Lepisosteus oculatus: one gene and its partners. The protein of the gene in region 4 purifies or fractionates together with the protein of the main gene of each other region. This does not show direct contact. Links are inferred from orthologs where the notes say so. Each region holds a gene or a part of one and is shown on either strand. Other genes may lie near its edges.

The links.
Region 1: the proteins of ptp4a2b (region 4) and rabggtb purify together in Homo sapiens (affinity purification with mass spectrometry; 3 studies listed by BioGRID and IntAct, counting the BioPlex papers as one, with this or other methods). This does not show direct contact. The link is inferred for Lepisosteus oculatus from reciprocal best matches to the Homo sapiens genes PTP4A2 and RABGGTB.
Region 2: the proteins of ptp4a2b (region 4) and metal transporter CNNM4 purify together in Homo sapiens (affinity purification with mass spectrometry; 6 studies listed by BioGRID and IntAct, counting the BioPlex papers as one, with this or other methods). This does not show direct contact. The link is inferred for Lepisosteus oculatus from reciprocal best matches to the Homo sapiens genes PTP4A2 and CNNM4.
Region 3: the proteins of ptp4a2b (region 4) and cnnm2b purify together in Homo sapiens (affinity purification with mass spectrometry; 4 studies listed by BioGRID and IntAct, counting the BioPlex papers as one, with this or other methods). This does not show direct contact. The link is inferred for Lepisosteus oculatus from reciprocal best matches to the Homo sapiens genes PTP4A2 and CNNM2.

What each region holds. Positions count from the first base shown.
Region 1 is NC_090704.1:4,134,000-4,141,988, reverse strand, and holds the start of rabggtb (geranylgeranyl transferase type-2 subunit beta), read left to right. Parts: upstream 1-4,981; 5' UTR 4,982-4,996; coding exon 4,997-5,074; intron 5,075-5,580; coding exon 5,581-5,688; intron 5,689-6,239; coding exon 6,240-6,437; intron 6,438-6,932; coding exon 6,933-7,038; intron 7,039-7,679; coding exon 7,680-7,732; intron 7,733-7,858; coding exon 7,859-7,969; intron 7,970-7,989. Other genes in the region: acadm (medium-chain specific acyl-CoA dehydrogenase, mitochondrial), read left to right, coding at 1-31, 116-211, 304-552, 1,705-1,776. UniProt on the Homo sapiens protein: Catalyzes the transfer of a geranylgeranyl moiety from geranylgeranyl diphosphate to both cysteines of Rab proteins with the C-terminal sequence -XXCC, -XCXC and -CCXX, such as RAB1A, RAB3A, RAB5A and RAB7A.
Region 2 is NC_090697.1:69,731,489-69,739,093, forward strand, and holds the start of metal transporter CNNM4, read left to right. Parts: upstream 1-4,603; 5' UTR 4,604-4,621; coding exon 4,622-6,023; intron 6,024-7,605. Other genes in the region: lman2la (lectin, mannose-binding 2-like a), read right to left, coding at 1,474-1,675. UniProt on the Homo sapiens protein: Probable metal transporter. The interaction with the metal ion chaperone COX11 suggests that it may play a role in sensory neuron functions. May play a role in biomineralization and retinal function.
Region 3 is NC_090699.1:36,010,226-36,017,343, forward strand, and holds the start of cnnm2b (metal transporter CNNM2), read left to right. Parts: upstream 1-4,100; 5' UTR 4,101-4,293; coding exon 4,294-5,776; intron 5,777-7,118.
Region 4 is NC_090706.1:1,404,791-1,412,720, forward strand, and holds the start of ptp4a2b (protein tyrosine phosphatase type IVA 2), read right to left. Parts: upstream 3,006-7,930; 5' UTR 2,806-3,005; intron 1-2,805.

The DNA of each region.
Region 1 (7,989 bases), on a different chromosome or scaffold from region 4:
TATGGGAGCTTTTGATAAGACCAGGCCTCCGGTGAGTGTCGGAAACGTATTTCATTATTATTATTATTAATATTATTATTATTATGATGATGATGATTATTTAATTATCTGGCAGGTGGCAGCGGGAGCTACAGGCCTGGCACAGCGGGCTCTGGACGAAGCGACGAAATACGCTTTGGAGAGGAAGACCTTCGGCAGGCTCATCGCCGAAGTAAGTGCGCCCGTGGGGGAGTGGAGGGGGAGCGGCTGGGCGTGTCCGTTTAGGAGGGGAACGAGTCGTTTTGTCCTTGTGTGTCCCGTCAGCACCAGGCCATCTCCTTCCTGCTGGCGGAGATGGCCATGAAGGTGGAGCTGGCCAGGATGGCCTACCAGAGGTCCGCCTGGGAGGTGGACGAAGGCCGCAGAAATACCTACTACGCCTCCATCGCCAAGGCGTTCGCCGGAGACATCGCGAACCAAGTCGCCAGCGACGCGGTTCAGATCTTCGGAGGCAACGGGTTCAACAGTGAATATCCTGTGGAGAAGCTGATGAGAGATGCCAAGATCTACCAGGTACATCTCTGGAATGCACCCAATAAAATATTTATTATTGTTTGTTTTTTTTTGCTTTTATTATTATTTCAGTGGTGTTGAACAGCGAAAGCAAAAACTTTTTTTTTAACATAAAGCAATTTATTTGTAATATCCCGCATTAAAGTTTCCAATTGCTGGCAGTAGGCATGCATGGAAACATGCACCACTGCTCTTATTTTACAGTATATCAGTGATCTAGGTTCTGGTACAGTTAGCAAAGCACTTATTCTTTCAGATGGTATCAAAAGGGAAGTTTAGCAAACGGTAAAGTACAGCGTATAAAATTAAATAAAATTCAAGTCTGGTCTAACAAATTCCTGGCAGATGACCTTTTAAGATAAGTGCAGGGTTTACCTGCAGGTAGCAACACTAAATACAAACTGGGAAACACTGAGTAAGATGTTTATGTTGACACATTTACATCTTCTAGACAACGTGGGGAAGCTTTTGAAAAAGGGAACAAAGTGAATTAAAAGCAAAGGTTTTACGGATGTTATGATGAAAGTATAACCCCCCTGTAGGCCTCATTTACCATAATGTTTCCAATTTCAGTCACCATGTTATAGAAAAGATATTGCTGCTCTGGATTCAGTCCAGCAAAGATCAACCAGATGCATTCAGGACCTCAGGGAATGTCCTGCACTGACAGACTGAGGAACTGAACCTTCTTAGTTCAGTTCTACTAGAAAATGTCACATGTGGACCTGATACAAGTATTCAAAATCCTCAGAGACCCTGGCAGAGTCAAGCCAGTGGACATTTACGGAGTGAACAGCGAATCGTGAACCAGAGGCGTTCTGTGGAAATGCATTTAAAACTGATAACAGGAGACACTCCTTTACCCAAAGGGCTGTGAGATGATTGAACACGATACCCAGCCATGTTGCTGATGTCTAATACCCTGACTTCTTTCCAGAAACTGCTGGATGAGATCTGTGGCTACTAACAGCCAAACAATCTAGATGGGTCAAATGCCTCCTCTCCTTTTTACCCACCTTTCTAATGTTCATGGGATTAAAATGTGTGGTGTCATTGATGTATATACATTCGTTTTTCAGATTGTTTTTTTTAATAAAAAATGTTGGCTCACTGATTGTGAGAGATTTTAATCAACATTATTTTCTTTTTCAGATCTATGAAGGTACAGCTCAGGTCCAGAGGATGATCATTGCTCGTGAACACATTGGAAAATACAAACAGTGATTGCACTTTTTTCCTGTAACAGTCTTCCCTTTGTTATAATTTTATGTCCTGTATGTAGAGTATCAACGACTATCAATGCAAGTACGTTCTTTGCCTTCCATATTTTAAATAAATTGGTGCCTATGACACAATACGTGAGCCTTAGAAAATGGTAACCTGAAGCCTTTAAAAGCCTTTATATACTGTTATCAAAGATAAGAGCTGCATTTGGGAACTAATTTTTGCAAAGCTGAAATAAAAAGGATGTTATATATTAAAGTTTTCTGGTTGGGTTTTTTTTACAATGTTTTTATGTATCTTTAATGGGGAAGCACACATCTGGATTGTCCTGGGTGTGTTTGTTTGCCTTTGGGTAGATACTGTACCAATTCTACAGGATATTGCTGATGCTCAGAGGAATGTTCCTACTAACACGAAGGAAATAGTTTCAATTCCACCACTGTTAGTTGTGTAAATTAACGCTAAATTGTACAAATCTAGTGTAGCATGTTTTGTTTGCTAAGTGAGCAAGTTTGAGTTCATGGCATTTGTTTGCTCTGTAGAAAATAGACTTCTTAGGTTGAATTTTGCCACAAAGGAGACTGATTTTGTCACGTCTCAGATCCTGAGCAAGGATGGATCTGGTCAGTACTGGGCTGAGAGAAGCCTGGAAAAAATTTCCTGCTGTAAGCCAGTGGTGTTAAACTCAGCTCAAAGTCTTTCATGGCTGAGTGCTGAAATGCAGCTCAGTAGAAGCACAGTTACCTATAAAACACCATCAAGCCCGGTTAGAATTATTAACAGTTATATAGTCGATCGACAGCTGTGTAACTGAGAGCTCAATGAGTGATAATGATGTTTTATTTATTCAAGAACAAGCTGTACAAATGCACATATAATACAGATACCAGAAGAAAAGGTAAAGAGGAAAAGAACAACAAACTGATTCAGTTTTAAATTTCATGCTGAAAGCTGTAGTGAACAGACAGGTCTGCAAGAGAGGTCTAGAAAAGTCAGCAGCTGAAGAGTAATGCATTTGGGCAGCACGTCCTCCACGATGACTCTGTTGCCCTTTGCTTACAGCTTGGTCTTCAGCAGACATACTGTAGACACCCCGAATCATCAGATCTATTGAGATTACGTCTCCACATTGGCTAGTCCGGCCTTCCCTTGTTTGTAAGGTATATTCTAAAGAGTAATAGTTTGCTCATTTAACCAACACTTAAAAGATATTTCAGTGCCCTATATATGAGCATGAGAACCTTTTTGTTCACACTAAATTCCACATATAGACAATGCAATTTATGTGGTACAGGATTTAGGTGCTGATGCAGAATACTTTTAGTTGTTGCAGAGATGTTGGGATCATATGAGCCTAAACTCAGTCTTGACACAGTCAAGCCCAGAATAGTTCTGTTGCACCCATATCTGAACATCATAGAGACACCTGTGAAGTGCAGAAAGCACAGTGGTATTTGATTTGGTCTCCTGGTAGATCTGAATGTTATCAGAAAATCATTAATTACCTTAACAAAGGCTGTTTTAGTACTTTGTCTCTCTGCAAACCCCAAGCCAAAAGGCACAACGAGCACATGAGGAACTTCTAATTGAACTACAACTGCCCTTTCAGAATTTTTCTGAGAAAAATGCCAACTGGGAAAAGCAGTTTGTACTGTGATCGCGCTTAACAGTAGACACACACGTGGGAAGTTTCGATTTGAGTTTAATGTGTAGATATGTGGCGACAGATAAGTTGGTATCTAAAGGCGTTTTACAGAGCCAAGATGGCGGATGCAAATAAGCAGTTTCCAAATACTGTATTTGACGATTAAATTGCTTCAGACTGTGCTGTCACACATGTGAACTGTGAAACTCAGTAGTAGTCGTAATTTCTGTATTCATTAATCTTTTTATAGAGCGAGGATTTCTTTAAACAGAAAACTTATATAATTACCACCCTCCTCCGGCGAAGATTTGGGCAGGCTTTGTTTTATGACGTAGTTATTGTGGGACGCGATTCAGGGACATCACCCAAGAATGGTAGGTGCTGTTCATCGGTCTACATATTTTGTTTTCTTATATGTATATGTGTATATTTCAAGGATGAAACAGAGGCATTTGTCATATGAAATAATAATGTCTACCTACCGTTCTGTACACGTTTTAAGCACACTGCAAATAGAAGTGACATGTCCCAGAGCAAAAAGCTGTTAGACCGTGAATAGAAATGAATTTAAATCCTGCAATTTTATAAAGGTTTAAATGCCTGACAGCTAATCGCGAATGTGAGCCGTTTCTTAACCTGGTAACGCTTTGACTGCATTAAAAAATAGAATAACATCTGTCATTTAACAGAAGCTAATGTGCTTGTCCGCAAACATATCCCTGTCGGAATTTAATGGCATCTGGAGTGATGCGTAACTAGACGTTGAATCTTTTCCCTTTGTCATACAGGACGTTTGGTGTATTTCGATGTTCCGCATTATTGGTCGTAAGACATCGTTTTAGGAGATTAAAAACTCGTACGTTAAGTATGTTTTTAGAGGAGTGGTTTAGGGATACGTAATGGATAATTTAAGCGGTGAGCATCGGGAATTGTGCTACAACAAAAACCGTTTTCTGACAGTTGGTCCGTCTAACAATCTGAACAAAAAAAACATGTTGAAAAGTTAGAGCAACACCAGTCAGTATTCGGCTTAGCCAGTGGACATTTTCATATGTGTTCATATAAACGTGTACGTGCTGCAGAAAAGGCTGTCTTTTTCTGTGGGTTTTTTTCCGATACCATTGCGAATTTATCGCAGTTGTAAATAATACTTATTTTGATGCTCAGTGCAGTGTCTTGGGGGGGCATGTCACTTTGTCCGTCTGTCTAATTCCACATGTAACTGTTTGTTTTTGGACAGTTTTAGTGTTGATGAACAATACCTTGTGACCTTAAACCGCTTCAGTCTGATTTCTCAGTGGAATTAATCGAGTAACGCGTTAAATCAGTGCATTCAGTTCCATCCCACGTAATATCCCCATCCTGTAAAAGACGGTTAAGGATTTAAGTGGCACTTGTCATGGGGTGTTCCAAACACATGATCAAACATGTCAAAAACCGCATGTAAGGGTGTGTTTGTTTCCAGTACTTGTAGGTTGTCTAAAAAAAAAGTTATAAAAATATGAAGAGATGTGTCATTTCATTGTAACTATTTAATTTAAAGATTAGGAGCTGATTGCTCACAAGAACAAAACGATGTATCATCTGTGTTGTGCCAATATTTTTGTTTCTCTAGGAAATGACTGTGCACAAACTTGTTGTGTTCCTAATCAGGTCAGTCAGTGTGTATCTATAGTCATTCACAGAAATGTACATTTTTCTTGTATAAAAATGCAATAACCCCCCATCACCTCAGTAGTTATTTATGTATCATTAAGGTAAGCCATTGCAATTTTAAATCCTAAATAATTGTAATATGTTTATTGACTCATTTTATCCTTCAGTGTCCCTCAAATATAGTTCATTTGAAGGAAATAAAAATTAAGAAATTAAAAATGATTTTTTTTTCACTAAATAAGGAGAATTGTGTAGTATTTAAGTCCAGAAGGTTTTCTTCTTATAAAAGAGAAACTGTAAAGTCCACACACATAGTTCCTTGTAAAGTAAGCTTATCTGATTTCTGTAGTAAATTAATACTTGCTTTACATGTAATAATTACAATACAATAAAAATAATGACATGTTCCTAAAAAATGCACATTACTGTATATTGTTTTAAAAATCGCTCTTTGTTTGAAAATGTCTGTGGGTTCCCTTTACTAATCCTCTGCGTTATTCCAGGGCACTCAAGTTAAAGATGTCGTTATAAAGCCTGATGCTCCAAGTGTGCTTCTGTTGGACAAACATGCAGACTATATCGCAGCTTATGGTACCAAGAAGGACGACTATGTATGTATCTGCACAAGTGACAAAGGGCACACTTTCTTTTACTCTTTCCTTCATGATCCAGTAATTAGATCTGTACTTTAAAACACAGAAGCATTTAAGCGAGTAGCATTTTCAGGTGCTGCTTTAACAGCAGGAATGAATCTAGCTCTTCATGATTTAAGAGGCAGTGGTTTATTACAGCAAATCATCAGAAGCTGAAATTGCGTTTTTGTTTTTGAAAGAGTGTATCGTCTTTTAAAGAAGGGCAAAAAGTTTAGAAACCCTCTAAAACAGCCATACCTCTCTGAAACCCTTCCAGTGTTTTCTCAGTCTTGGTGAGTCCAACCCAAACGGCGGCTAAGCTTGTGATTTAGTGAGTGAAACTGACTTCTTTTTCCGTAAATCCGTATGTTTGTCCTTCCAGAAATGAGAACAGATGATAACGCTTTTTACTCTCACTGGTCATCCGCAAAAGTGGATACCTAGGAGGTGGCATTTATTAAAGACCTCCTGGTCGCTTTTTCAGTGTTGATTTTTGTGTTGTTGTTTCGGATCTCTCCCGTCTCCACCAGGAGTACACCCTGTCGGAATACCTGCGCATGAGCGGCATCTACTGGGGTCTGACGGTAATGGATCTGATGGGGCAGCTGCATCGGATGAACGAGGACGAGATTATAGAATTTGTCAAGCAGTGCCAGCATGAGAGTGGAGGAATCAGTGCCAGTATAGGACATGACCCTCACCTGCTCTATACTCTCAGTGCTGTTCAGGTACAACTCTTAAAGAGGTTGTTGTTTTTTTTCCCCTCTAGGTTTAACCAACCGATTCGAGATTCATTTTGATAAGTGCATTTGGTGACCAACTTGCTGTGTGCCTAACAATTTCTTTTTAAAAAAGCTTAGATGAAATCTGTTTTCTACCTTGAAGCATGATAGTGCCCATCTCTTTCTCTCTTTAATATGAAAAATTAAAAGACCAAATGGTGTGATTCTCATTGCTGCTTTGTGTCTAGAAAAAACAGTTCCTGGCATAAACCTGGTGTAGACAGGCTGTTGAAATAGTGTCAGTCTTCCAGTCAAACACGTTTAATCTCTTCACCTGTTTTCTATGAGAGGTTAATTTAACCTAATATTTTAAATTTATCTTGTGAGTTTTTAAGTCTTACACTCAAAGAAAGAGATATTCCCCTTTTATTTCAAAATAGCTAATTGTCGCATTTGCGTATCTTGGATTTCTGTGTTCACCGTTTTTCTGGTGTTTTTCAGATTCTCTCTCTGTATGATAGTCTCTCTGTGATCGATGTGGATAAAGTGGTTGAATACGTGAAAGGGTTACAACAGGAGGATGGATCTTTTGCTGGGGACAAATGGGGTGAGTGGATTGTTTTAGGTGTCATTTATTTGAATGTGTGCTGCTAGTCGATAGTCCAAGTGTTTCTTAAAATGTTTTATACTTCAGCACATTAAAGCAGTGGAATTATTTGTATGCTGAACTACCTGTTTCCCTCTGCTGACAGCAAAAAAGTCCTCTTCTCTAGCACTAGCAGACTTGTGAGAAATGTTTATTTGTATAAAAGTCAGATGAAAAAGCCTATATATGCTAAGTTATCCCTTCCTGTAATTATCCAATTTAAATCTTCATTATTAATGCATTATATATGTCTAGTGTTTGTTACCCTCTCGTTTTACTCAGCTTGTGACATTTGTCATTCATCTCAGACAGCGGTGTCCAGTCCTGGTCCTGGAGGGCTAGTGTGCCTGTAGGTTTCTAGTCCAGCTCAGATCCTGAAGAGCCGACACAGCTGGTTACTGGCTTAACCAGGACTTTAGCAGCTTCTCCGAGGTCTTCGGGCCCGGCTTTTTAAACCCGCAGGTGCACCAGCCCTTCGGGATCAGGACAGCCCCGATCAGAGCTGTCTCTCGTAACATTGCAATGAGAGCCTGTGTGATTTCGATGGTTCCTGTTAAGAACATCGAGTCTCTAGTTACATTTGTGTCCTTGTTTTGTTCTAGGTGAGATAGATACGAGGTTTTCCTTCTGTGCAGTGGCAACCCTGGCTTTGCTGGTAAGAGCATCTTTACAAACTTCATAGTGTCTGTTTATGAGACGATGGTGTTTGTTAGCTCTAATTCTGCCATTTTTTACTCTGTGCCTCTGGCTTAGCGTTCAGTGCGAATGACTGGTCTTTCAGGGCAAGCTGGACACCATTAACGTAGACAAGGCAGTGGAGTTTGTCCTTTTCTGCATGAATTTCGATGGAGGATTTGGCTGTAGACCGGGCTCAGAATCTCATGCAGGGCAGGTAGGTTTTTAGAAAAACCT
Region 2 (7,605 bases), on a different chromosome or scaffold from region 4:
GTGTTAGCAAATGAGATTGACTGACTGAGCAGCCATTAAAATGTTTAAGGTCTGTGGATTTGAGAGGTCAGTGTGGCCGGACAACTGATTCCTTTCTTTTTCTAGTACTTGACGGTACATTACATCTGACAAGACAGTTTGATACTGACAAACAAGATTTATTTGAACGGGGAACTTATTGTTATTCTTGGGATTATGGGGCACTGCGATCAACATGAGGGGATTCGTAATTTCCTTCCCATTGTAAATGTAAGGAACGGGTAAGGGTTCATTGCGTGCTGAAAGGTAAAGAAAAGATACACAATGTTTCTGGCTGTGGAACCTTTTTCAGGTGACACATTGAAGGCAAATTGAAAGCACTTTGAAGCGAAAACACCGGTTCGTATTCCAACCACTAGGGGGAGCTATATTACTTTGAACGTTTTGCTATGGTGTGACTGTTTTCCTTACACTTATTTAGCGCTTTACAGGTAATGGGGACTCCCCCGACCACTACCATGATGCAACAGCAGCCAAAGTGCGCCAGAGTAATGAAGCCAATTCATTTAGCTATATACCTGCGTAAGATCTCATACTGTATCGGTTAACCAACATAAAAATTGCTCCATAATATTATTTAGGGATGAATTAAAGTGGTTTACACTTCTACCTTTTTTACAGTTTTAATTGTGAACAGAACTTGCAGGCTGGTTTAAAAACACGGTTATGCATACTGCAAAACACAGAATCAGACCAGGAAAAAAACACTTCCATTCGGTTTCTCCGCCAAGGCAAAGGAACCAAAATCACGTACTCGTGTGATCAGGGTTAGGGTTACACACTCCAGAAACCAAAGCAGCCTGCATCGCGGTTGCTCAATTCAACTTGCTGAACCGCCTTGTCAGGTCGGGCTGACCTGTGTACCGGCGGCAACTTTCATGTGAGATTATGGCAAGGCCTCCTCCTTACTCGCTCTCTCGCCTACATCGTTCACCTGTGTTCCCCCAGAACATAATTCCTGAAATGGCTGTGACTGGATGACTACCTCGCGTCAGATTTCGCAACACAACAGCACTGGTCTGGTCAGGTCGCCTCTACTTCTTGCATTACGCAATCCAAGCCAGGCGAGTCACGACGTGCAGGGCTAGGAGGCTAGGAGTCAGGTGCATGCATCAATAAAGCCACGCTGTTTTAAACGCGTGTTGTCAGTGCTCGGGTTGACTTCATATTGTAACGCTTACGGATATTTAGCGTTGCCATGGTTTGACAAGCCTGTCGAAAACACTAGCTACTGAAGATAACGTGACTGTGTTGGCGGATATTTTAGTGCACTTCACGTCGAGTCGATCCGATCCGCCAAGCCAGTGTCAGAAAGCGAAGGCAGCTGGAGATTTCAGCGCTGTCATTTGATTTGCAGGGAGAGTCTTTTCTCTCTCCCGCTATGATCGATCCGCTCTCACCCTCCCCGTTCATCTGTACCGTAATGGATCTTACCTTGGTACGGCTTGATCAGCGAATGCTCCCTTTTCAGGAACTCTTCCACCTCGTGTCCTTCGTCACCCCAGCACGGGCTTGCCGTGAGCAGGATGAAGACAACTGCGAACGGGATCTTTTTGATCATATTGTGAAAAGAAATGAAATAAAAAATTCCCTTGCGAGCCCCAGCTAGAACCTTCCCGTTCATGGCAGCGGCCATTTTGCTCCTCCCCCTCCCTCCATGACACGCCTTTCCCCACCTACCTCGCCTCTCAGTGGCTGGTAGGATGTGTTGTCATCAACTATTCGCTGCACTGAACTGCCATTCACGAGTCTAACTCTACCTGTGCCCCGCCCCCGATGAATAATGACAGTTCGTTGGAAGCGAAATATGATTGGTTCAGGGGCTAATACCCGCCCACTTGTGAGACTTTTGGGATTCTATTGGTAAAAGTTATTATCAATTAAAGAGACTCCAAACATCCCGCCCACTCCCGGAAGCAGTTGCCTTGGTAACTGATTCCGTTAGGAGGGTGAATAGTAAGATGTTGAAAATGTTTGTCTAATAGTGTAACGTTAAAAAACCAATCTGAACACTTAAAAAAGTTTTTCTTAGCCACAGGCCATATACCTTCTACTTGAGCGTTACTTGTTTCTTTCAAGTTTCAAAAAGACAAAATCACATTTCGTAGAAGTATGTCGGATAGCACAAGAAATCAAAACCGAGAATAGGAACGATTTTTTAATGAACTGTAGCTACATATGCTTAAAAGTTTTGCTATGTTTATGTTTTTATTATCTACCCGAAACGTATTATTAAATAACGAGGTTTCCTATGATACTTAAAGTGCATATAGTCGAACGGAATTATTTTCCAGAACCGCAAGCACAGCGGATGTGCTTTTGGATGTTTCTTCCTTACTGATCTCATCCTGGACTTTTGAGGTGGAAACCTTAAAACCTTAAAAGCAGTTTTCCAAGAAGCCCGGTACGCTCACCCGAGCAGGGACTGGTTTGTCGCGGGGCAGGACCTGGGTGTGACGCCTTGCTTCCTCTCAAAGAGCAGCAATTTCTTTTTCTGAAGACTAATATTTCGCTTGGAAGCCTGACGTTCATATTTAGCAAGGGATTTGATGGAACAATTGCAATGAAATTATTTAAGCTTCTACATTTTCATCTTATAATTAATAGTTTGATGTTTGATATTTGTTTTTTGAGAGCAAAGGGTCAAAGAATCCGCAGTCTGATGATTTTCCAAACTTTGCATATGAAAGGCCGTCGAAAGTGTGTTTTTAAAACGGTTTACGAAGCCAAAATTGTAACAGCGACTGAACTCAAGCAAGCCCGGGAATTCATTTCGAAATCTAATGCATCTTGAGGCTGACTCATGTGGCTCACGAATGTCTGAACGCAGACCTGAAACATAGGAGAATGAAATCATGTGCGCTAAATATGACATAGTGTTTATAACGCCCGATCACAGCCTAGCCACAAAGCCCTATTCAGACAGAAGACTCATTTCCTGGAAACCGCTAACTGAGAGGCTGTGGAGCGCTGAGCAGTTTTGAGCTCTGTCACATGGCATATACTGTAAGGCCGCAGTTAGGCTTTTTAGTTTTGTTTCCCGCCTCTGGCGTCGCCGACAGGGAACGTGATCTGTTCTCATCATTTTGCCCTTTACCTTATATTGGCTGTTGTTTCTTTCTCGGTCCTCCCCGTGCGCTCTTTCACTCACAATACAGCCAATAACACGCTTCTCCAAAACCTTCCCACTACAATTTAACGCTTATTCATAATCCCAAAAAATCCTACAACCCTGTACTTGTGCTCTTCTATTGTTTGCTATAATTATAGTTTACGAGTAATCTTTGCTTTGCTCTGATAGTGTTTGTATAAGTTGTTTGTTACTCTAGTATTCTATTTTATTGGCCTTTATCGGTCATTTATGCACATATATCAATCTACAAATCCCCTTTGATATCGAGGTGGCATCGGCAGGAAAACACTATGTTAACGATTTATGATAGTCCTCAGTATTTTAACTATATTATGTTAAGAGGATTTTTTTGCGGGCTTAGTCAATTCCAATCAAAACTTCCACATTCGCATGTACAGCAGGTGGGATTAAGAGGTTCTCCTAATCTACTTGGAAAAGTCATGATAAGTGCTAAAATAATTGTGTCGGGAATAATTCTGTGTACTGAGAATTATTCTGAGCTGTTCAATAAAAAAGCATTTTTGTTCAGTTTACAGTCCATTTCATCACAACGTTTGTTTTAAGAATGAATTAAAGAGTTTTTATTTTTTAGCTCTTGAGAGATTGACGGTATTCATTATAATTATTGTAATAAAGTAAATAAACGCATGATTTCATCCTCATTTGTAGTAAAAATGTTTGGATTACAAGTCATTCTTCCGGTACCCCCACCCCCACAGCACCCTTCATTTAGCTTTGCTGGATTTCATTCTTTAAAAGTGTGGAGGCTGAGGCTGCGTGATGTCATTATCACCCAATCAGGGGCCACCCGGACATGATGATGTAATGTTTACCAGCAAGTTCAGTAGCACTGCGGTTCAATCGGATATAATCACTGAAAAAAAAAGTTAAAACGCCTTTTTTATTTTTATGAGGATATTATTTTAACATCACTGTCAAAATGGTGAACCTCATTAAGATTCGATGTTCTGTAGCTAATATATAAACTATATATGGAGTGCATACTTATTCCGTCTGAAGTAGTAAACGATATATTTGTATTTTATAATTACAGTGAAAAAAATAGTATAATTTCCTAAATTTCTTATTATTAATTAAAAGACTCTTACTCTTACTGGAACACTTGAAAAGTTGAATTGCTAAATATCACATATACGTCAGTTATGCCATCGGTATGTGCATCTATGTCAGTTAAAACAGTCTTAAAGGATAGTTAAAGGAATTGCTTTCAGGATATACTATGAACAATAACGACTCCAATTAAATAAAAATATTTCCTTCCATCTTAACAAGTGCACTGCTCTTCCTTAAAAAGAAAGTGATGATTTAGAAGGCGGCCCTAACGTCATATGTGGGCGGTATAGAAGGCGGGGTTAGGATAATGAAGAGGCGGGTTTTAAGAAATGAGTAGGTGACGTCAGCTCCCAGCTTGCGGAGAGTGAAACAAACATGGCGACAGACTGGAGTGGGCAGGGGTATATTCTAACTTTGATCGTTTTTCTATGGAGCTCAACAGCTGGACGAATGGAGGCAGCAACCGCAGAGGTCAGTAACAGCCAGATCTTGGGCATGCGGCTGGTGTGGAGCAACAAGTCGGCCACGACCACCAACGAGGGAATCATCCAGGTAACAGAGGGCAGTGAGGTCCAGCTCAGGTTTTACGGGCTGCAGCTAAACTCGGGCACCTGGTCACAGATCAGGTTTACGGAACACGGAGACGGAGTGGGAGAGGGCGAAAACAATGCCTTTAGCCACTCTTTTAACAGGACTTGCGCCGATTTCACCAAAGACATCGCGATCAATAATTTCATGAACGTCAGCAGCCAGGGCACCTCCGGGGTGCTCAAATTAGCCATCAAGACGCTCCGCAAGAGCGAAGAGTCCAAGGAGTACAGCTTGTGCGTGAAACGCAGCCCGGAAGGCGAGTGGGACCTGTTCGGGGAGAACGATGGCAAGCTGAAGGTGGTGGAGGAGAAGTCGTCGCTGCTCCCGCTCTGGCTGCAGATCATATTGATCGCCCTGCTGCTGTTACTGTCCGGCATGTTCAGCGGACTGAACCTGGGGCTGATGGCTTTAGATCCCATGGAGCTCCGCATCGTGCAGAGCTGCGGTACGGAAAAGGAGAAGAAGTACGCCCGCAAGATCGAGCCCATCCGCAGGAAGGGCAACTACCTTCTGTGCTCGCTCCTGCTGGGCAACGTGCTCGTCAACACGACCTTGACCATCCTGCTGGACGACCTGATTGGATCTGGCCTGGCTGCGGTGGTGGCCTCCACCATCGGCATCGTCATCTTCGGGGAGATCATGCCCCAGGCGCTGTGCTCTCGCCACGGCCTGGCCGTGGGGGCCAACACCATCGTGCTGACCAAGTTCTTCATGCTGCTCACCTTGCCCATGTCCTACCCCATCAGCAAGCTGCTGGACTGCGTGCTGGGCCAGGAGATCGGCACCGTCTACAACCGGGAGAAGCTGGTGGGGATGCTCAAGGTGACGGAGCCCTACAACGACCTGGTGAAAGAGGAGCTCAACATGATCCAGGGGGCGCTGGAGCTGCGGACCAAAACCGTGGAGGACGTCATGACCCCCCTGAGCAACTGCTTCATGATCCACAGCGACGCCGTGCTGGACTTCAACACCATGTCCGAGATCATGGAGAGCGGCTACACCCGCATCCCGGTGTTCGAGGACGAGCGCTCCAACATCGTGGACATCCTGTACGTCAAGGACCTGGCCTTCGTGGACCCAGACGACTGCACCACGCTGAAGACCATCACCAAGTTCTACAACCACCCGGTCCACTTCGTCTTCCACGACACCAAGCTGGACGCCATGCTGGAGGAGTTCAAGAAAGGTAGGGCCCGTCGTCATAGCAACAGAAGCTTGTCGAGCGCATGGGACTGGCGCGGTGTCAAAGAAGAGCACTGGAGAGCTTCTGCTGCTGAAAAGCCTAAGGCTGGAAGCCGCAGTGTGTTTTGCAGTTCCAGACTGGTCTCATTTGTCAGTCTGGTTTGCCCACCTCTTTTTCATGTTGTTGTAAAGATGGCGTTCATTAAAAGGTATGAACAGCGCCTCTGTCTTTTTTAAATTAGCACTGTGGGGAAAAAGAGGGTATAAGGTTTGTTAGCCTTGGTTTTCTCCTCCCAGGAGTCATTGACACCTCTCTTCTGGTATATAATGATGTGCAGGGCTCCATACTCAGGATTTACTGTTGCTCTTTGTGCGTTCATGACCTCACAAATCTAAAACGTCCTCAGAAGTGATGAATATAGTTTCATGCTTTCGAGTTTAAACATTTGTGTTTTTAGGTCTGTGTGTCCGACCGGCTCTGCAGGCATCCTGTGTTGGGTTGTTTCACGAAGCAAAATGATCTGTGCGTTCTCATTTCTAATCCCTCCTCCGCCCGCTTACCACTTGTATTTCTGACAGGACAAACACTCGGGGCTGACGGATTGAGAAATCATTTCAGGCTCGAGTGTTATTGTGTGAGTGAAGAGTTGTGCAGCTAAGTTAGACCATCCAAGTTGTCCTTACAGGATACGTCCCTCTTTGTGTCTGTCCATGTATCTGATCTTGTCTGCCAGCCTCTGCAAATATCTGTATGCCTGGCTCTCTGCCCTTCTTACATCAGTGGTGTTGGGGAGACTGCTGTGGCTGTTGCTCTGCGAAGGCGTGTGTGGTTGCACGGCTGAAGTTACAGGCTGCCTCTGTGCTGTGTGTCTCCCGCGGACGTGCCGGTGTCCCCTCGCTCACCCTGTGCACTGAAACCTTTGGAGAGGAGACAGGTTTGCAGATTATGCAGCAGTGTGGTACAGCAATTCCAATGCTTTGTCGGGAGGCCGCCATCAGGCCCTTAAAGAGGCAGCACCAGTAAGGACACACCAGGGCGCCTCTGACTAGGCGTCTGCTGGAGTGTTTTTCCATTCAGGCTGCTGAGGGGCTGGGATGTTGGTGAACATTTCTCCATGTGTCGTTTTGATGCTTTGTGTTTTCACAACCGCCTATGTTCCCAGCTCCCTGTGGGGCTTCTTTTAAACAAACATTTACTGTTTAGCAAAGAATTTCAAGACAGAAATGTGCATGTGAGAATTGGAGAGAGAGTTAATTGCCATATTCCTTCAAGGCTAACAAAAAGAAAAAGCTCTCAAGGGGAATGAAACCCATGCTTTGTTTCAGGGCTTAACAGCTACAGTTCTGCCTCTCCTCTTCCTGCTGTGGTATCCAAACTCCTTTTTTTTGCACCATCTGTCCTGTCCGAAGTGACATGAAGGCTGGGGTGTGCAGACTCACTGAGGGTCTGATGATCCCCTGATCCCCTGATGAACCGAGCTCGTTATTTACTCAGCAAGACTCTTTCATCTCTAGTGCTTCACCCAGGTTTTAAACTGCTCCCAGTTTTAAGGTTATAAAGCTGACAGAGCTGTAGCCTTTGAGGT
Region 3 (7,118 bases), on a different chromosome or scaffold from region 4:
GTAAACATCTAGAATTTAGAATGTTGTTTTTGACAAGGACTAAGATCATGTATTGTGCTGCATTTTCAATCTTTTGCCACCGAAATGTAAATTGTTACACTTCAGTCTGAAATATGATTCTCTAAGCAACCAAGTTTGTGAAAAAGATGTCGGCTTGGCTAAGTGTCACCAGTTGAAGATAATTGTAACACAGCATGCACACCTTAATTGCATGACCTTAGGTTCATGTTCAGTAAAGAAAAAAAAGTTGTTGTTTTTTTAAATCAGATTTGCCCCAGCAAAGCAAGTTCCAGAAAATAGATTGTTTTATGTTTTTTACTTCTGTGGTTTTTAATTTTTACTTCAGTTTCATTCTGGTAATGGTAAATGTTTTCTGTCTGTGTAGTCAAGGACTTGAATTGTCATAAGGGGAAAGTGCTCATTTGAAAAAAGTTTGCATGTGTAGCCTTGTATACTGGGGACTAAATTATAAAAACCCACAGAGAGCAGGGTGGGTATACATAATACACATTACCTTGCGTATAAGTTAGGAAAGTTTGCTGTTTTGGTGCCAACTAAAAATATCTTTCTTCAGAGATGTTGTTTCCTGCTTATGTTTAATTTTATATTTAGTGATCACTTGTATCCATTTAATATACAATGTATATTTCACTAAGGGTGCCTCTTAATGTGATCCTTTCCTTCGAATGAACAAACAGAATAATTTTCTATAATTATAAGATTGCATTAATCCTCTGTGCAAAAGGCTGAACTGAACAAGGCAATAAACAATACTCTGCTATATGTGTGTTTTGGTTATTTTTGGCTTAAAACATCCTTTTTATGCATTTCACATTTTATTGGTTCATGATTTTTCCAACACTTTCACTTTCATTGTTTTTCTGTAATGTGGTGAGCAAGTTTGCTTTTGTCACTGATAGATAAGATCACTTTATTGGCCATATACAATTTCTTGTATTATTAATTTGTCTTTTTTTTGGCATACCCCATCTTCCTCTCCATGAAACACACAGTCGGGGACAGAAGCTTGGGGTCAGAGCACAGGGTCAGCCATTTATATGGCACTCCTGGAGCACTTGGGGTTAAGTGCCTTGCTCAGGGGCCCAACAGAGTAGGATTCCTCTGCCGGCTGCAGGATTTGAACCGGCAACCTTTCAGCCACAGGCGCAGATCCTCAGCCACAGAGCCACCACGCCAATGCTTCCATCCGCTCTGCGTGTTCAGTGATGTTCAGTCTGTACTTCAGAAACCCCAGCCCTTCTATGACAACCGAGAGAAACTGAACCCCCCTTAAAGACTTAATTTTTACGTTAATTATAATACAGTATTCAATAATTAATGCCTTTTCTAAATATAGGCCAGAGTGTCTATGCAGTACTACCATTTGTCACAAGAGGGCGAAAATGGCACACGACAATTTGCCATTAAAACCTGTTTGTCAAACCATTGAGAAAAGATCCGTTTCTGGACTTTCTTTTTTCAACAGAGCAGTGGAATGTTCTAGACTGCAGAGCGGATGGAAGCATGTTGTCTGTTATACAAAAGGTAGTGGGAGCTTGGGCCCTGGCTCAATACCTAGGGTGCTGTCTGCGTGGAGTTTGTGTGTTGTCTCCTGGTTTGTGTAGTTTCCTCTAGGTGCTCCAGTTTCGTCTCCCAGTTCAAAAACTGTTGCTGGACAGAATAGGCTTCAGCTCCAGCTGTCCCCAAACACTATAATGGCTACATCAGTTAGAAAATGGATGGATGGACATCCAGGTTTACAAAGATATTAGAGATTTTTGTACTAACCAGTTTTCTTCATACACTCTTTTAACTTCAAGCAACTTTTTCCCTCAGTGTACTGGATTACCTCCTCCTAAGTTATGGCCGCAGGACATCCCTTCAAAGGTATATATTTTATCCTGTTTAAAAATAAACTCACTTCTTGATGCAGTTTTCCTCTGTTTCTCTTTTTCCTTTACTAGTGATTTGATGAGTTCTTCGTTTTTTGCGGGAGGAATCTCAAAAAGAATTTTTTGGTAAAAATATTGATTCTAATATATATATTTTAATTTAAATTACTTTAAATGTAGACGTATAAGCTATTTTTAATTGCTTGATTATTCTTTTGGCCTCTGCAGAAATAGAATCACGCACATTGAGAACATGTGCGAAGAGGACTCTAAAATAAAGCTGCAGGACATGTTAAAACTTACAAATACCTGCGCTATTTAAAAAAAAACGTTTATAGACAAACTACAAAACGGTTTGAGGGTGATTGATTCCATAAAACCCTTTGAAATGGCACAACTCGGGGCTGCTTCGGGTCAGAGTGGTGAGGAATTTGTTGCTACACGTGCTGCTCATGCCATCGCCACGCCCCGTGTTATCTTTGACACGCCCCCTCAGCGCCGCAGTTCGGAGGCCACGCCCCTGGGTCTCCGCCAGCGTCCCCTTCACACGTTTGGGGAAGTTTCGCTTCTCAGAGGAAGATTTAAGATATCTAATCTGATCTATTTCAGTGTTCGCTGATATGTTTATAAAAAGGAATTTGTTGTGCTATTTATACTGGATTTTAATGTTCTGTTGCTTACATATAAGGCACTGAACGGTCTCGCTCAAGGTTACTTTAGGACTTTTATTGCTTGAGTATAGTCCAACACTTGATCTGAGATGTGCTGATTCAGGTCTTCCTTTTTTTACTTGCGGCCAGGCTCACACGATGAAAGCCAGAGCACCACGATTTTAAAACTCACTGCCAAAAATCGGAGACTATGTATCCGTTGCTTTTTTTTACTAAACTTTTCATGTATGATTTTACTTTTGGTATTATTTGGTCAATTTACTGAGTGATTGTTTACTGACGTGGTGTTTTATGCGTGTACACTCGTGCAGCGCTTTTTTTATAACACTTCTAACTATAGCATTAACTCGTTTTTTCATGTTTTATTTTAGAATTTGCTTTGAAAGATAGCCTAAACCTCAGACAGTTCAATGTGTTATTAAAATACAGATGCCTGGATTATCCCAGGCGGTTGATGTTTTGTTTTTATGAGTGTTGCTCACGGACGTTTGAATTAGTGCATTGTTATTAAATTGTTTGATGATTAACTAATCAATAAAATACAAAGATAAAGGCACCTGTGTTTAATATCTACAAAGATTACAAAGTAATATTCCGCACCTTCTTTAAAGCTGTAGCTGAACCCAAGATACTAGGATCCTTAACGTCTAAAGCGTAGGTTTGAACATTTTGTTTAGACAACCACTACTACTTATCAAGATGTTGATTTCTTTTCTTTTTTTACTTAGAAACGTTTTATGTAATCGGCGTTTGGTATGCTACGTGACGTCCGGTAGTCGGTGTGTTACCGGTAGTAATATTACCATTCACCTACATTACTCTCAGAATTACAGCAGTTTAGGTATTTTGGATGTCAAGGTGACCGAAAGATGTACAATATGTGTTATGTTTACCGACTGCCGAAAGGAAAAACGAAGGGATTACGTCAGTTTACTATTCCCTTATGAAACTGGAAGAAAGAACAGGTACAGATTTATGCGAACATTAAACACATGAATAAAACAAAACACAACCAACTGCTCTTAACGTAGACGGTGAGATGCTTAACAGCAAAAACACACACGTCGTTACTGATGGCCTTTTTTCTTCCTAGCTTTCAAGGGGATTTCATTGAAGTTATGTATTAGGTCATCACACATCTTTGCAGAAAGAACTAGCATGAAGCTTCATTATTGTGAAAAGTCACAGTAAAACTACTCTCAATTTAAAACGGCTCTAAAGCCCTTATTTATCATAATTGCACCTGTTATCCACCTGCAGTCTCACGCCTGTCTCATTGACGGATGTTTCAGGAAGTGGGCAGGAACAACACCTTCATTGGTTGCCGAGATCCCCTCCCCTTCATCAGACCTACCCCCTCCTACACCTTATTTGCTGCCTTCAACCCTCCGTCAAAATAAGTCACGAGGACGGCCCTGGGCAGTAACTCCGCCCCCATATGTTTGTTTTCTTTTCTTATTGGCTTTTGCCTCGGAAAACACCCCGCCTCCTTATAAAATCGGTAGTTGATTGGGTGCGGGGGCCGCCCGTCTTTGGGCATCACGAGGAACACGAGTTCATACTGTGCTTGCTCCGCTGTGTTGTTGGTCAGAGGAGCTGGAGACGCGTGGTGGGAGCAGACAGGTCTGATGCATGAGTCAAGGAAACCCGCAGAGGAGATGAAGGCGGACTCCGATTGGCTGTGATTTTTAAAAGCCCTCTTCTTTTAAAAGCGGTTGCCCACAATCAAGATGGCAGAGCGCTCGGCCACAGTGCCCACTTTAAAGATGGCGGCGCTCAGCCGGGTCCGAGTTCTGGCTCTGGTATTCTTTACAGTCAGCGGCTGTTTGGTGAGCTTGTCCAGCGGCGAGGAAGGGGCAGAAGAGACGGTTATCATTGGGCTCAGACTAGAAGACACAGACGACGTTTCCTTTATGGACGGGGGGTCCCTGCGGGTCAGCGAAAGGACCCGGGTCAAGCTGAGAGTCTATGGGCAAAACATTAACAACGAGACGTGGTCCAAAATCGCCTTTACAGAGCATGAGCGGAGCAAAGTCGTTGGCAACATTGACAGCACCACTAGGGATAATAAGAGCAAAGAGGATACCTCAAGCTATCATCCCTGTGGCATTAGGACTTCGGATATTATAATTTTGCCCAATATTGTCTTAAATAGAAAGACTTCTGGCATAGTGGAAATTGAAATTAAGCCTCTGCGGAAAACGGAGAAGAGCAAAGCCTACTACTTGTGCATTGCCATGCCAACACCTGCTGTGTCTGGCGTGCACGACCCATGGACTGAGACCACCTGGATCTACCATGACGGAGAGGACACGAAAGTGATAGTGGTGGAGGAGAGGAAGTTCTTGCTGCCCTTTTGGCTGCAGGTCATTTTCATCTCGCTGCTGCTCTGTCTCTCGGGCATGTTCAGTGGGCTGAACCTGGGACTGATGGCGCTGGACCCCATGGAACTACGCATCGTCCAGAACTGCGGCACGGAGAAGGAGAAGAACTACGCCAAGAAAATCGAGCCGGTCCGGAGTCAAGGGAACTACCTGCTCTGCTCGCTGCTCCTGGGGAACGTGCTTGTGAACACCACCCTGACCATTCTGTTGGATGACATCGCAGGCTCGGGGTTGATAGCTGTGGTGGTGTCCACCATCGGGATCGTGATCTTTGGCGAAATTGTGCCCCAGGCGATCTGCTCCCGGCACGGTCTGGCTGTAGGTGCGAACACCATCTTTCTGACCAAATTTTTCATGCTGCTCACTTTTCCTGCGTCGTACCCCGTGAGCAAACTCTTGGACTGCGTCTTGGGGCAGGAGATTGGCACGGTGTACAACAGGGAGAAGCTCCTGGAGATGCTGAGGGTCACAGATCCCTACAATGACCTGGTCAAAGAGGAGCTCAACATCATCCAGGGCGCCCTGGAGCTCAGGACTAAGACCGTGGAAGATGTCATGACTCCCCTGCGCGACTGCTTCATGATCACCGCCGACGCCATCCTCGACTTCAACACCATGTCTGAGATCATGGAGAGTGGGTACACTCGGATCCCCGTCTACGAAGGGGAGAGATCTAACATTGTGGACCTTCTGTTCGTTAAGGACTTGGCCTTTGTCGACCCGGACGACAGCACACCATTGAAAACCATCACCAAGTTCTATAGCCATCCCTTGCATTTTGTTTTCAATGACACCAAACTGGATGCCATGCTGGAGGAATTCAAGAAAGGTGGGGCAGTATTTTTTTTCACTCACTTTGTTTACCTCCTTCAGATATTTATTGCATTTTAATGTTTCACCTTGGCAAGGGTTGAGTTGTAACACTTCTAGTGATGAGTGCTCTGATAAAGTGCGCCGAGTCTTTGTCATAACTGAGCGTGAGATTGGCATAGGACATGTCAATGTACAGTTATTTCCCTGATTACCATGGGGAATAAATGCGGTCTGATGATGCGGCTGTCTATAAGGTGTTTTCACAAGTATTTCCGAAAGTAGTTCGGTTTCTGGAAAAAGGTTGGTTCCCGATTTGGAACATCAGACACTTATCGCGATCTACTGTATATCAACCAGGATTCTGTATGAGGTTTTGCTGTTTTTGCACTTCTTGCTTCCCCGGTGTTCAGATGGCAAAGCGCTGCGCATTTTCATGCGGTAAACAAACAACAGTGCATCTTGCATCCTGCCACTCGCAGTCCTGTCGGGAGGGTGAATAAATTATGCCCATTCCCGTCGGGGGTTTGTTTGTTTGTTTGTTTTTGTCTTCATCCGCTCTTGTGGCTTGTGGAAAGTACGTGTGGCGGGTTGCAGGTCGCCAGGTGCTGCAGCGGTGCAGTGCCCCACACGCTGGCTGAGAGGACCGGGCGCAGGCACTGTGGGGGCTGAGCTGCCAGAGGGTACCAGTGCTGCCTGCTCAGCGATTCACGGGCTCATCAGATTGCTGTTTGAGTCCGAGGTGTACCCATCGCATCTACTGTGTTCAAAGGCGAATTGATCCAAACACTTATTACCTGTACGCTACCGCCACGACCCGATATGCACAAATCGCAATCACGCGGACGATGGGATCGTCGTGGATCCAAATCGCATAAAACATATGTATATATTCATCAGTTTCCCTACGGGATCAATAAAGTCTTATCTATCTAAATGTCGCCCAGTTAGATTGAAATTTCGCAGGCCTTATCTAATTTTTCTACGGCGTTTTGCAACTTGATGGCCGCCTGAACGGTTTATTTTATTGCGCAGGTGGCACTGGGGAAAAAAAACCCGTTAATAAAAATCAACTGCACTGATTCTAACCGCTACTGATTTCAAAATAGCATTTTTGAGATCAAACGTAGTTGTTATATTTTCTTTCATTCTCCCGATGAAGCTCCAAACGCCTATTGTATTCTAAAACACGATACACACGTTACACGTGGGCGTTTCAATGAAATATTGTCTAGTATGAGCTATCCATCCAACTTGTTTTTACCTGTAAAACAAATGAAATAATATTATTCCGATGTCAGTGATTTGCAGAAAGGGCAAATGTTTTGTTTGGTTAATGCTTGTTAGTCTTCTACCGTATG
Region 4 (7,930 bases):
ATTTAATAAACATCTTTGAGAAGCAGCATTTCATTACAGGGAAGCAGCAGCGAGGCTGGAGGCTTTCAGCAGCCCCCTGGGGATGACAACACCAGCCACAGACAGCAGCACACTGACCCCACTCTCACATGAACACTATGCACACAAAAGATGAGGGGGTGGGGGAGGAAGCTGGCTTATAACATCACTCCGACACTCTGTAAAACACGACGAAATTAAACGCAGGATGGCTTACAGGCCACTCCCACGACCTGAACGAGCAACACGGGTTTCGATCGATTTATCCAGAATAAATTGCAGAAGGATATGACATTGGGGGGGGGTTTCATGTCACACATCTCAAATATTTTAATTGTCAGATGTCCAGCCCTTCTGTGAGAGAGAGAGAGAAGCCAGCCAGGAGCCAGGTGGAGAGTGTGAGGGAGGAGAAGGGGCTGGGAGACTCCAAAAGACAGACGCACCACATGAAACACGTGGGCACAACCAGGCACTTCTGTAGCTCAAACATGCAGACTGGAGGCGCTGAGGCAGCTGCACATTTGGTGCACAGAGAACACAAGTGCGACAGCAGAACCGCAGCAACCGGAGAGAGTCGGACCCGGCCCCAGCCGGCGGGGAGCCCCTTGGACCGGTTTTAGTCAGGCCCAGATGTAGCCAACCACCGGGTTTGCGTCTGTACCTCAGAACAACCTTTAGAGGACAGTCAGGATCACGACAGTAACACCAATACCAAGCCAGCTAAGAGCAAGCATGGGCATCAAGGGCCTCCACACTGGAGTAACAACAGAAGTAGCCCCCTCCACCGGACATCACACAACAGCAACCTACCCCAGCCCTGCCTCTTTACAACACCAGACAGAAAGAGGGCCCACTGGACTTCCGAAGTGGAGTGTAAATTAAAGATTTGATTAAAAAAAGATGTCCATTTAGCAATGTTAAAAAAATCATACAATTTCACCTGCGAAAAACACATTTAAAAGGAGAGAGTGGGGGAGCACAGCCAGTCTCAATGAGGCGCCCTGCCGGAGAGCTGCGGACAGGTGACAGGTCAGAGACACTCCGCATGTACACCGCAAAACGCCACTTGGCCGGGCTTGACCACGGCGACGACCGACCAACCCGGCCAGCCAGCCAGCGAGGGGTGTGGGGTGGGGCTGCATGCTGATTCACAGCAAGTGACCTTCTGGGGGGGGCGCCGGTAACAACCACCCTCCACGTCCCGAACCGCAACGCCGACAGCTGCATGCAAATATCCGGAGAGCCCCCCACGCCACTCGCGGAGTGGGCTGGCCGCCCCAGCTGAGAGCCGCGTGAACAATGAAAGCGAAACCTTCAGAGATCTGCCCCCTCCGTCATCAAGGGCGCACAGATAACTCCCCCTTTTAAACAACAATTAAATAAAACAACACCTTCGTCCACTCAGCAGGGCCGTGGCAGCCCGTGAATCTGCACGAGCGGGCCCCAGGCCGGGACACCGCTGACCGTGGCGTGGATTCCCGCACAAGGGCAAGTGACCTAGAGCCGGGGCAGGAGACGACGCCCGGCGGTCATCATCATCATCATCAATTCCTGTTATTGTGATTACTGTGCTGACGATTAGTGCGCGGAGATCCAGACCCAGCCAGCCAGCCCAGGCTCTGCGCCTCAGTTTCAAGTTACACACCGCTCCTTGTTCTGCAAATGACTTACGAAACCCAAAGAAAAAGGCCGGACTCGCGTCAGCAGGCGAGATGCTGGTCCTGCCTGCTCGCAGCGGAGTTTCAACGTGGTGATGACGCATTTCAGTGACAGCTGTTTCACGACCTACCCTCCCTCCCCCCCGACAGCAGACAGCCAATTTCGCGCACACAACTACAGCCATACATACACACGGCGTGTAAATATACATGCATGTGTGCAAGCCCGTTGTAAGGCTCTTGCAATGCAATGCTCTTCCGAAAGAACCGATTTCTTTGCAAGCCAAGACTATATATATACACACACACACAACTCAGAAGATGTCGGCCGTCTCTCTCCCTCCCCAGACTCAAGTCCATGTATATGCACAGCTCAGGCTTCAAGCCTCGCACGGGTTTTTTTAAATCCCTTTAACCCAGCAAGCACATCGCGTCGCGTTTTTCCAATTTAAAAAAAGCCTTTTAAACGGCTTTGTTCTCCCCTCCCAATGAACCCCGACAAACTCGCACTCGTCCCCCTCCTCCACGGACGCTATTTTTGTTTTTCGCCACGATGGGATAATTATTTTTCAGACTACTTCAAGGAGTTTCGTTGAGGTTTTTTTTTTCTTTGCAACCTCCACATGGAAACAGACTCTTCTTTAAACAGACATCAGGAAGTTGCGAACAAGCAAACTAGTAGTAACCCTAACGCCCACGAAACACGTACAACTTCATCTAAAATATATCTATACACACACACACGTATCGCTGGAACTATGAAGTCCCAACAAAGGGAGCTACACGTCGTGAGGCCGTTTTCGGATCAGACACACGTATGTCTATATATCATCTTTTTTGTCCCCTTCGGAATTAAAAAGCCTCGCCCGGACCCACCACGACACACGAGCAGAGGATCGAAGGAAACGGAAAACACCTTCGCCGGCAGTGCAAGCCACAGACCGGAATTATTTAAAAAAAAAAAAAACAACAAGCAATTAGAGCCGAAAGATGAGACCGGCGAGCGGCAGCGGATTATACCGACGCTCACTCCTAATGGCTGCCGCCTCGCCTCACTTTCCCCGGCGCACACACGGGCCACCCCGGAGCCAGGGAAGAGGCGGGAGGAAAAGCGGGGACTCGGACTTACAAAGGGCAGGCTGCTCATTGAAATCCCGTGACAACCCCCGGAGAAAAGTGGACGTTTTACTGCCGTGACCGTTGGCTGCTGCTGCCGCCGCTGTTGTTGTCGTCGTCTGCTCCGAGCGCCGCGAGCGACCCAGCCAGCCTGCCTGCTTCCCTCCCTCTCGCGCTCGCTCGTTCCCTCCCCCCGGCGGGGAGGGGCTGCGCTCCACGTCACCCGCCGCGCCGGTGACGTACTACACACGTTAAAGCGACGGGGCGGCGCCGGCGGCCTGGGTGGCCCCAGCGCGAGGCGGGACCTCGCGTCCAAAGAAGGAAAGAAAGAAAAAGAAAACAAACAAACAAACAAAAGCGACGTAGAACATCAAACATAAAAATCACAACCACGCGGGGGAAAAAAAAGGGGCGTGTCACCTTACTGCAGCACGCTCGGTGTTGGAAAAGAAAAATTTTATTGCTGCGCTTTTAAAACTCCCGCCCTTAAAACTCGCTTGGATACAGAGGCTTTTAATCAGGTTTATTGCAGTTTGCAGTTTATTGCAGGCAGCTGTCTCTGTTGGTCTCCCTGTTGCCTTGTTTTATCGTGAAGCGCCTTCAGCTGATGAGTCATGGGTGTGTCAGAATGAACGACAGAGACCGCTTACATTTCTTCTTCATCAGGTGACTGAGGACAATAGCACCGATGTGTCACTCTGTGCAAGTGCACCGCGCACCCTATTTTCACTTACCTGTGCAACTTACACTGCGCTAATAATGCAGTGTATATATGGTAAAACGTTTGCATCAAGATCAATAAACTAGTTATTATAATTAGGTTGTCCCTCATGTGAAATAAAGCTGATGGTTTGAAATAATGGAGTTTTACTCGGCTTCGAGTGAAAGTAAAAGAGTTTGGATTCATTTCAATGGAAACTTTGTGTATTCCCACAATAACATCAAAATAAGCCCCCTTATTGTTTTAAGTTCCCAACAAGAATGCACACAGTATTTATTTGGAACCCTTTCCAATCTTTTTAGATGAGAATGAGAAAGGAAAACAATTATTTTAATCTAATTTGTTGAAAGCCTCTTGGTAATGGTTTGGCCAGGCTCTGTTTGATTTCGTATGTTAGGTTTTGGTGATATCTGGTGATATTATTTGCAATGCTGAAATGCAAGCATGGATCTTAACAAGTAGATATTAAGACATTGTAGACATGTCAGCTACTCCAGACAACATGTCTCTGGTTTGTGGGGGGAAATGGGAGAAGCCAGAGAAAACTCACATGGGGGGGTGGGGGGTGGGAGCTAGATGTTCTCCTAGGAAGAACATGCAAACTCCACCCATCTCGACTTCAACCCAGGACTGGGGGGCTGTGAGGCGCCAGGGCTATTTGCCCACTACACAACATCTTTTCTAGGACACTCTTGTGTCCCAAGAGCTTATGATACTGCCACCCACTGGGGGAAAATAAGTTATAACAAGCGAAAAAAATGAAACCCACTGTTCTGGATCCAATAGAATAAACCTTTCACAGGACATCACTTGCAAGGCACATCTGTGTTGGAATCTTGTTCGTCCCCAAATCATTGCATCATTTCTCATGACAAATACACCCCGTGTACGGGAGCCGATCGTTGGGAAATACTGTGCATGACTCTGAAGTGATACACTTGTACAGTATGTATACACTTGTACCCAGAGCTCAAACAGTCCTGTGCAGCGTGATTTAACCGCAGTCGGTTTTCATGAGTATTGTAGTCTTCTACAATGTGCACTGAAATTCAAATAAGATGGATATACAGTAAAATCCCATTCTTTTTTCGCATGCCTCAGTCAGTCATTTTTTTAAAGATATGATTTAGTCCCTGCATGCAAATTCTGCATGATTCAAACATGTCCTGCAGAATGCCTCTAGAATCTTTTATATTCTGGGGGTAAAATCTCTATCATATCCCAAAAGGCTTCTTCGGGATTCCATTATTTTTCCTGAAAAAGTCCTGCAGGATGTTCCCTGTGGGATATTTTCAGAGATCTACAAATATTTTGGCACTCTCCTGTAGGATCATATGTTTATTTATCATTTCTAGGTTTGAAGGCAGTCTGGAAGGATATTTTATGTGAGGGGAACATTTGGTGATTCAATCATTTTTTCCAGGCAAAACCAGTGAGTTAAGTCTCTTAAATTGTACTATTGCAATTCTGACTAGTTACCCTATTATAATACTACACCACACTAATGAAAATAATAATATAAGTAATAAGGAGACAAAACACATATACAAGATACTCTTTATTGATGTGGTATCAATACAATCAAGTACTGTAGTTTTAGTTTCAAAAGAAAAAAATCTTTTAAAATCACAAGAAAAACAGGAGTGCATTTTATACCCACTTCCTATTACAGACAGTGCATGTAATAGACAATTTCAAAGAAAAAACAAATATCCTATAGTTTGCTACATAGTACATTAGACAGAAAACAGAACTTACATAAAAGCAATCCTTCAAAATCAGCACCAAGGTGCACTGATTACTCATTTGAAAAATGTAGAGGCAGTCACATATCCTTTTAGCAAATACAGACTTTTTGATTTAGATATCCAGTTGTAGAATTGTTGTCATTATACAAGAAGAAACATAGTTTTACAATGTCTTGTTTTGTGCAAATGGTAATGCAATGGGCCAATTTTCTAATCCAAAAGAAAAAAATACAATATCCCTTAGGAATCTAAATAAGGCACTTTTTCTTAGCTGTATTTTCTAAAGTAGTCTTTCATTATATGAGCACTAAATACCTGCTTAAATTTGCTTTGTAACATTTACATACTTCCAGAGGGGGAAGTGACAAAAACACACAATACCATGCATCCTTCTTCATGACACCTGCTAAGAAATGGGTATGAGTAAGTTGTACAGCATGTCATTCTTGGAGTACACAAAATAAAGGAAAAACAAAAATAAAAATAAAAACCAGCATAAATAACAAGAACATGCCTTGCATTGTCTAGGAATGTCACAATAATGATCATTTACAAGCCTTTTTCGTTAACTGCAAAGTATACAACAGTGCGAGGGAGTGCAATTCGGAAATACTGGAAGGGAAATACTGTCGGACAAGCATGTATTTCTTTTAAATCAAGCTAACAGGCTTTAGAAGTTAAAGTAAATACAAAAAGAGTTAGAGCCGTATTTTTGGAACACGTATAGAGCTGAGTCTTGTGACTCGGCCACCACGGATTAGTTTTGACAGTATTATACACTTGCTTGACTCCGATCCATTAGAATGCACGCCCCGTTAGTTTAGATTGGTCGCGTTCCTTAAAAAAAAGAGTTTTTGTGAAGTTTTCCCGATGTTTGGAGGGCTGTACTTTTTTTTTTAAATCATAAGGCTCGCTTCACTGTTCAAAATCCACTTTACCGCTCACGGATTGTCCTTATAAGAACGTGGGAATCTGTTTGTTTCTTCCCCCACCACCTACAATCTATTGACTATAAACGCTTGGAAACCAGAGTCTACAGATGAAAAGATGGGGTGTAACTGAATCATTTTGGGAAGCACTCCCGTCAGTCCCGAAGCAATGCAGAGGGCTGTTGTTCTTCTCTCCAAGCTTCCTCTCACATTCTTCACTTTCATGTAAAAAGATGGTCGCGACCATCACATTGTCCCCTGTCATAATCAGCAAAAGAATACATTTGCAAGGAAGAAGGAAAACTCAACAGACATTCGCTAAAAACGTTCTATAGTACGGGGAAGTGTATTTAATAGCCTAGTTTCCATCTTACATCTCAATGGCACTAGATATGAAGTCAGAGGGATGGCGGACGAGAGGGGCCTGCGGTTCAAACAGCCTATTTGGTTTTCAGTAGCTAACTGATCCGAGACCCTCGAGCAGCTCTTTCTTGAGAGGATCTTGGCTTCGAACGCATGACTAGACATCTCACAACCCAGATATTCCTCAATGCACTGTAAACTACGCTGTAGCAAAGGGTCCTTAAATTAAGTATAGGCAATCCATTTAAGCGTTATTCACCAGCAACCTAAAAGGCGTCGACGTAGAGATTTTTCACTTTTTTTAAGCGATTACCATCTCTTTAATGGACCACAAATAAACGAAAATAAAGCTCGAAACCTAATACTGGAGTTCCCGGCAACACTGGACATGACAACGAAAGGATAAAAGCGATGGCGTTCCCCCTTGAAAAGTGCAGAAAACCTGCCTGATCTAGCTTCACCTTCCTCTAAAAAAAACCAAACTACTTTACCTCAGCTGCCGAAGCGCGTGTGCTGACGTCACAGGGTTCCCGCGGGAGCAGAGCCGCGGAAATGACTTCACCCCCTCCGGAGACTCGCCCGCGCGGAGGCTCGGTCCTGCGGTGTGAAGTCATTGCCCGCTGCTCAGAGAGGGGAGCAAGCGCGCTCCGATCCCAGCGGGAGCCGGGGTTGCTTCACGCACGACACAGACTGCTGTCGGCCCTCTCATCGAGACTTCGCTTTTCTACCGGCCGCCATGACACGAGCCAAGCGCGAGGATTTCGGTAACGTGCCGCGAAGCTGCGGGGGGACAGCACCGGAGTGTGCATTGTGCCTGGACATCACGCCTGGGAACAATCTAACTGCAGTTCACTTTATCCCATCACCCCATGGCAATGCCCACCTGCAGCGGTTTTACATTCGGTCATCATTGCGTGCGTGTGCATGTTTCTGTGATCCAGTTCCAAGTGATCCAAGGATAATTAAGGCACACGCCGTCATCCCTCTCTCAGGCCACTCTCGGTCTCGATCGGGGTCATTTCGCTGTTGCACAATCTCGACCTCCGGCCTCTGCGTCCAGGACAGAACCTGCAATCTCTTCGAGCCCTGTTGTCCCCCCCTTCGCCACTGAAGACACTACCAAGAGTACACTGGAGCTACAGCCATTGGGTTCTCCTGACACCTTCCAGCCAAGACAAGACTTTAGACTTCAAGGGAAAGAGGAGGAAGCCAAACATTGACTCAGAAGCCCTATCTTATCATCGCCCCCACATGAAAACATCTACACAAGCCAAACACTCAGGGCCATGTGGGTATTAGTCTGGACATGGTTTTAACGACCTAGTAGAAAACGTAGCACATATCAGTTTGCAAATTGAGACAAAAAATGCTAACTGT